Linked DNA regions of Pelodiscus sinensis. Each later gene encodes a partner of the first gene's protein in a complex. Links are inferred from orthologs where the notes say so. Each region holds a gene or a part of one and is shown on either strand. Other genes may lie near its edges.

Region 1 (3,745 bases):
TTAGGGAGTGGCAGCCCGCGTATCACTGACCTGAATCCAAAAGCCTGTTTCCAGGGACTCTTTGCACTGTGAGGTCCTGGGAAGCCAGCCTGTAATGCTCTGCACCCCCAGGAGACCATGCAGCAGGTATTTCCTTGCAAGGCTGGTCCCAGAGGGCGGTGGCAGCAGGTGTGTGGCGCTGGCACATGCCTACCTGTTCTAGGCAGCTCCGACACGTTTCCTGGATGAGCTGCTCTGGATCCACGTCCTCCCCGACGTTCTCTCTCACGTTACCTGCTGCCTTCTGGAAAAACTGGGAAGGGGCCCAAGGAGAGAGTTAGCATGACGCTGGCTGCTCTCAGCTCTTTCCACAGAAGGCTGCCTCCTTGGGACAAGGCTGTTCTCTGCACAGACAAAAGCAGGGTCTGGCAATTCCAGGGTCCACCTCTGCTCATGCCACAACCTAATACCATCAGGGTCAGCACTGAGAACACGGGACGTAGTCCCATTCGGAAGCTCCATATCCTTTGGGAGAAGACTCCATGCTCTCTGGTCCCTCAGTGCCCTCCAGCAGAACTCACTTTTACAGTTCTGTGGATTTCAGACCAGGAGTCCTGGAGTGGGACCCTTTCAGGGTTAGGCAGAGCAGCCTTCACCTGCCCCTCTTATTCAGTTCACAGGGTTGGGTTGTGTATGTGACTTGGCCTATGGGGCAGGGCTTTCACAGTGGCAGCACCTTCCAGCACAGGCTAGAGGCAGGGGAAGGATGATGTCCGTCCAAGAAATTTCCCTCTTCCTGTGAGCTTTACCTTCATGTATTTATTGAAGACAGTCTGGATCTCCTCATTAATACTAGGCTGCAGAACAGCTCGCAGCAAATCCATGGAGACAGCAGGGTCTGTAAAGCTGAATGAGAGAGAAATGACTCCACCTGGCTTTCCTGCCACACCTAGCACACCACCCAGACAGTCCCCAAAGCCCCACGCGGCAGTGCTCTCCCGAATGCTCTCACCCACGTGAGTGTCCGCCAGAGTTTACAGGCGTCTGCAAAGGACACAACACAGGCTGCAAGCTGATTTCCACTCCAAAGCCAGCAGCGGAATTACCCACTGATTCCAACTCTAAGTCTCCCAGCAGAGGAGAACACAAAGTGCCTCTGGCTCCAAGTGTCAGCCCGAGAGGAGTGTGGTTTGCACGCAAGTGATGTAAACACACAACTGGGTTCAACAAAGAACGAGATCGGTTCCCAGAGCACAGGCCGATCTCTGGCTATTAGCCGAGATGATCCTAACCCTCGTAACTGCCAGAAGCTGGGCCTGGATGACAGGGATGGATCACTCGATACATTGGCCTGTTCTGTTCACTGCCTCGGATACATCTGGCACTGGCCACAAGCTGAAAGCCAGGACACTTGGGCAGACAGATCTTTGGCTTGGCCCAGTATGAGCATTCTGATGAATCCCCCACTTCACCAGGATCAAACAACCTGCCACGGCCCCTAGAACGCCGGATATCTCACAGTGTGGCCTCAACCCCTTAGCAGCTAGGGAGCATTTCCAGCCCCAAAGAATATCAGTTCCGTGGGTAGCGAGCCCCACTATACAGATCGAGCGCCCCACATTGTGGCTGGCCCAGGGAGCGGGTGGCAGAGGCAGGACCAGACTTCACACGGAGCCTTTCTCTGGCCCCGGCATGGCCCTGGCAGGAGCCTTGCCCGCTGGGATCACACAGCGGGTGTCAGAGGAGACTTGTGCTGCTGGGAGCGCGGCCAGGGCAGCTGTTACCTCGTGGCCATCTGGGAGCGTCGCCCGCGCCGCTGCACCTGCCGGTGCTTGATCATGATGTTCCAGGGGCTCTGCGGGAGGAGAGGCAGGGTGAGCTCGCAGGGCTCGCCAGGCAACCCCCCCCGCCTCCCCCGGGGGGCTCGCCAGGCAACCCCCCCCGCCTCCCCCGGGGGGCTCGCCAGGCAACCCCCCCCGCCTCCCCCGGGGGGCTCGCCAGGCAACCCCCCCCGCCTCCCCCGGGGGGCTCGCCAGGCAACCCCCCCCGCCTCCCCCCGGGGGGGGGCTCGCCAGGCAACCCCCCCCGCCACCCCCTGGGGGCTCGCCAGGCAACCCCCCCCCGCCACCCCCCGGGGCTCGCCAGGCGGCCCCTCCGCCCGCGCTCACCGGCTGCCCATCCCCCTCCTCGAGGCCCCCTTCCCCCGGCGCCTGCTGCTCCGGGTCCCGGGCCGCCCCCATCGCGGATCCCGCAGCGCCCCCGGCCCGCCGCACCCGGAAGCAGCCGAACGGGCCTGACGTCATCACGCCTGCGACGCCGCTCCAGGAGGAAGCGCGACGGCTGCTATGGCAACCGGCCGCCATCTTGTTCTGCGAGGGGCGGGGCGGGCTCCTCCCCACGGGCACGCGCCGGGCCGGAGCCGCGCGCTGCCGCCGCGACGTGCCCCCCCCCCCCCCCCCGCCCGAGCCACACCCCGCTGGCCCGCCCCCGGGGGCCGCGCGCTCCCACGTGCCCCTGCGGCTGCCTGAGCCCCGGGCCGCCCCGTGGCCCCAGACCCTGCACGAGGGCCCGGCCCGGCCTCAGCCGCCGTGGGGGGGGCCCGGCCTGGGGGGGGCCCGGCCCGGCCTCAGCCGCCGTGGGGGGGGCCCTGCCGGGGGGGGCCCGGCCCGGCCTCAGCCGCCGTGGGGGGGGCCCTGCCTGGGGGGGCCCGGCCCGGCCTCAGCCGCCGTGGGGGGGGCCCTGCCTGGGGGGGCCCGGCCCGGCCTCAGCCGCCGTGGGGGGGGCCCTGCCTGGGGGCCCCGGCCCGGCCTCAGCCGCCGTGGGGGGGGCCCTGCCTGGGGGGGCCCGGCCCGGCCCTTCCCCCCCCGCTCCGCGCCTGCGTCTTGTCTCAGGCCCCAAGGGGCAGAGCCGCGGGGGGGGGCAATGGCTGCCCCAGCGTGGGAGGAGGGAGGCTGCCCTGGCAGGGCCCTGGGCCGTGGTCCCCAGCGTGGCGCCCGTGGGTGTTTGTGTCCCCGTGGAATGGTGTGGGCGGCCCTGCCCACGGCGTGTGCGGTGCTGGCTCCTGGACCATGGCGCGTGGGCGGCCCCGCCACCCGGCACGTGGCCCGGGCACGGCCGCCCCCCCAGCCCGGCAACCCCCCACTGCCCTAGGGTGACACGCTCCAGTCCAGTCCGTTCCTTCTGGCAGTCTGATGACCTTGGGCCTGTCCCTGTGCTCAGGCGGTGCCGCAGTCAGGGTCCCAGCTAGTGCGTCATGTTGGGGAGCGGGGTTTGATGAAGCGCTCGCTTTCGTTTTCTGCATAGCCAAGCCCACTTGTTTCCATTTACTCGACAGGAAGTTTAGGGGGCACAGGTACTCCTGCGACTGCAAGCTGCCCAGACCATGCAGATCCTGTGCTTGGGTGAGTCCTCCTCATTAGACGTTTATTCACCTGCCTGCGCTTTCTTTCTCTCGTCTTTGGCAGCACCATGCCAAGAGGGTGTAGAGTGAGCTCCCAACAGGCTGTGTGGCCCAGCAAGGGGAGAGACTGACAGTGCATCTGATCAGTACAATGTGAAATAGAATTCCCTGTGAGGACGTGAATTCAGTTGCTTATTTTTATGTTCCAGGAGAATGTTATTACTTGTCTGCGTAGCTGTAACTTGGAAGGGAGTGAAATTTATTCTTAAAACCAAATGAAGTCTTCGCCTCTCCTCTAATAGTGTCCTCTGTTATGACTCTTTTTGCATCCTGTCGGTGCCAATAATACGCTACAGACATGGGGAG
Region 2 (3,745 bases), on another chromosome or scaffold:
AGAGGAAGTAGATAAGTGCTATTTACGTCTTCTCATAAGACAAGAACTAGGGGTCACCAAATTAAGTTAATAGGCAGCAGGTTTAAAACAAATATTTAAGAAATATTTCTTCATACAACACATAGTCAACTTGCAGGGTTCAAAAATAACTAGATACGTTCATGTAGGATAAGTCTGTCAATGGCTATTAGCAAAGTTGGGCTTTGTTGGTGTACCTAGCCTCTGCAAGAAGCTGGGAATGAATGATAGAGAATGGATCACTTGATGATTATCTGTTCTTTTCATTTCCTCTGGGGCACATGACACTGGCCATGGTCAGAAAACAAGATACTGGTCTAGATGGACCTTTGGTCTAACCCTGCATGATTATTTTATGTTCTTATGCAAATTACCTTCTTTGCCTCTCCCACCACCAAACAAGAGAATAGCTGAATTGCAACCACTTTTTAATTTTAATGCACTTGTTTTTCCTTACCCAGTACATAAGACAGGACCTTACCAGAGTCATAATTACACAGCAGAAGTCTACACAAAATCCACCAAGCTAATAGCAGAACTGACTGCTTAGTATCCACTGAACTGTCAAAAGACAGGTCCACAGATTCAATGAACTTTTGATATCTTTTACAAATTCAGACATGATTATAAATATTTTCTTTGTGGAGTATATCAAATCTAGGACTCCACTAGTGGCATGTGTCTCCTTCACAAAACATCCCTTCTCCCATTTTTAGGGGAAAAGGGCAATGCAAACAAATTCATTTTCCCCTCCTTTTAATTCTGAGGAGTTTGATAACATTTCAGGGAGGGATCATCATGACTTGAGGTCAAAAGGCAAAAAGGAACTTAGCAGCTTAGTAATGGCTAAATTCTCTTTTTATTATTTGCAATGCAAATCCTCTTTTTGTTCAACACAGAAGTCTTGCACAATAGCCTGTGTATGCACATTAGTTCCAACAATGCCTTCCTATGCAATCACATTGTAATTATACACTGTCATAAAGCTGTGGCTGCTATGAACTGCAGTATCACCCTATAAACAACTAATCTCAGTCTCTGCATTAGGACATGTCTCAGTCTTCCCCTCCCTTTACTATTTGCATACCGCCTTGATGCAGAGAACCTTTGCACTGCTTACAAACCAGTAAACCTGGATTTAATCAAGTTATTATCCTGTCTATTATACATTTTTAACTAGTTGTTTTAAAACAAATACCAAATAAATCTATTAAGTGCCACGTGGAAAAATTCCTGTAGGTTTATAACCTTGCAAGGCTTTATAAAGCAAAAATAAATCTTTGTTTAAAGTGTATTAGAATAAAGGGCGTGTATTATATAAGACATTCACATATGTGCGTGGGCGTATTGTCAGCTTTTATTAGTAAACTGCAAACTATCAGTCCTTTACAGTTACAGTCAGATGAAGAATTGCAAAACTTAGAATGCAAGATTGTCAAAAACAATTTAATATGTTTTAAACCCCATCCCCCAGAACTGTTTAATTATCAAACGGATGTTTATGATCTTTGTAAATCAAGAGCTCCCTTTTGTTTAATTCAGTACAGTATTTTTTAAAAATCAGTTAGCTTCCTTCCTACATGCACAGGCAACTTAAAGATGAGCACTTTTCTCACACTTTACACATTTCAAGCAAAGACTAATAAACAGGGAACATTCAAAAATCTTGAACTGAGATCCAGATACTGATCAGATGGAAATTTTAACAGGAGAAAAAATAGGCAAGAGACAGCTTCTTAAGTTGATAAAAAAGACATATAGAGATCATTGATGTAGCTTTGCTTCCCGCTCCCCCCCCCCCCCCCGAGAGAGAGAGAGAGAATGGCTTTGCATGGTCTTCTTTTTAAATTTATTTTAAATACACTTAATGTTTACCGTTTTTCAAACAGAAGAAACAAAAGCTGTGTTTCACATGAAGAAAGGTACTTGTGTCACAGCACGTCTGCTGCTATTCTCCAGCCTGCATGTGCGTGGGCCCCCAAAAGAGCAAAGTCAGCTGCTCCTGTCATTTGGCAATACTGATATGGAGGTAGGGTGTCAAGGCCATATAAACGGAAACTTAAATGCAGATCTCCCTCTCTACGTTCTTTTAGCTTAATCTTGTTCCAAAAAATAACCACAGATCAACCGACTGATTTTAAAAAAGAGCAATACCACAAACACGGAAACAAATCAATAAACAAAAAACTGCTGCAGAAAAGAGGGTGGGGAGTGGAATTCGTTTGCTCACCTTGGAAGCTAAAGGCAGCTCCGTTCCCAGCTCTGCTACTCCGAGGAGGGGGGACGCAGATGAAACAATTAACAAACAAAAACTTTGTTCCTTTCCCCCTGGGGCTCACTAAAAGCGTCACTTCCTCATACTGTAAGTGGAGGAGGCTCCCAATAGTCCCTTTAAGTCAACTCCTCCTCCTGCTTCTCTCCCAGAAGCTGCAGTTTAGAGTTCTAGTCCGGGACCCGCTTGTTCCTCTCCTCCAACCCTTGAGCAGTTAGTTCTGAGTGGCAGTAGCCGTGATCCTGCCAGGCTGCCCTTCTCAAAGCTCTTCGTTTGACCTTCTGAGCTTAGCATTTGTTACTAGTGTGTAGAAAAGAGGGGAGGGGAAGTTCTGCCGCACTGATTTGCGAAGCAAAACCTCGCTGAGAAATGCCGCTCTGTATATGTCATACCTTGCAAAACTCCTCGGTTATATAACGTGTCCAGTTCTCAGCCGTCCCCCGTTCAGGCTGATCTATTTACTTCTTTTTAATGGGAAAAGATTATAATGGGATTTTAGGGAGCAACTTGCAAGTGAGAATAGATTTCCCTGTTCTTTCCCCCAGCCCCTCCTGAAGTAAATACAGTAGGAATGGGATTGAAAGTGGGGAACCACAGAGTTCAGGGTTTTTGACAAATCTTCAGGTCTTTTCAGTAAATGCTGGATGTTTCACCAAACATCTTGAAACTTTCTAAAAGAATTTTCCTTTTGCTACAGAAAATTGTTCTCTCACCCAGTGGAATATGTACCTCTGTTTGTTTTCTGGGGGAACCTCAGGCCGAGGAGCCAGATGCGGCCCCTGGCTTGTCTGGATCTGGCCCCGGAGGCTGTGGGCCTCCCCCCAGCATTGAGGAGTCTGCACTAGTGCTCCAACACCCCAACTACTGGGCTGGAGCACACAAAATCTACTAGGCTGCCCCCTGCCCCCCCCAGGCTTTGATGTGGGAGGAAAGCGAGGGGACCATCTTTCTCCTTCTCAATTGTGTGCCGCCCCAGACTGATTTTCCTGTGGGTCAGCGGCCCCTGACCCAAAAAAAGTTCCCCACCTCTGAAATAGTTCACATTAAGTGCTGGGGGAACTTTCAGTCTCTCGGGGCAGAGAAAAAAGGTGCATGCTTGCACCTGCTCCACTCACTCACCCTGCTCCACTTTACATTAGAAAGTAAAATTTTTGTTCCATCATCACTCCCCGTGTAGACGGCATAAGAGTAAATAGTTATTGACAACAAGCAACACTTGAATAAATATATAAAGCAATGTTTTGGACAGAGTTAAAATGATCAGAAGAAAAACCCAGAGGGTCATAAAGAAAAATATACTAACAAGTCAATTCAGAATGAAGATGGCAACATTTTATGAAAACCTTCCTGTATATTCTTTTTTCTGTTTCACTTTTGATCACTTGCTATTTAACCCCACTCGCATTTACTTCTCCCCACCTCCAGGTTGGATCTATCTACCACACAAAGATTAAT

Evidence for each region.
Region 2: the proteins of DNTTIP1 (region 1) and MIDEAS are in contact, whole or in part, in a cryo-EM structure (PDB 6Z2J), measured with the Homo sapiens proteins. The link is inferred for Pelodiscus sinensis from reciprocal best matches to the Homo sapiens genes DNTTIP1 and MIDEAS. Residues at the interface, in NP_443183.1 of Homo sapiens: Pro63, Ser66, Leu69, Leu70, Ala72, Val73, Leu74, Pro76, Ser77; in NP_001036783.1 of Homo sapiens: Gln768, Asp771, Leu772, Thr774, Ala775, Ser778, Ser779, Ile802, Leu803, Leu806.

What each region holds. Positions count from the first base shown.
Region 1 is NC_134728.1:13,028-16,772, forward strand, and holds the start of DNTTIP1 (deoxynucleotidyltransferase terminal-interacting protein 1), read right to left. Parts: upstream 2,358-3,745; 5' UTR 2,343-2,357; coding exon 2,148-2,342; intron 1,835-2,147; coding exon 1,764-1,834; intron 886-1,763; coding exon 789-885; intron 293-788; coding exon 194-292; intron 1-193. Other genes in the region: uncharacterized protein LOC102461217, read left to right, coding at 3,362-3,380. UniProt on the Homo sapiens protein: Increases DNTT terminal deoxynucleotidyltransferase activity (in vitro). Also acts as a transcriptional regulator, binding to the consensus sequence 5'-GNTGCATG-3' following an AT-tract.
Region 2 is NC_134714.1:67,325,748-67,329,492, reverse strand, and holds the start of MIDEAS (mitotic deacetylase-associated SANT domain protein), read right to left. Parts: upstream 2,579-3,745; 5' UTR 2,249-2,578; intron 1,914-2,248; exon of another isoform or gene 1,894-1,913; intron 1-1,893.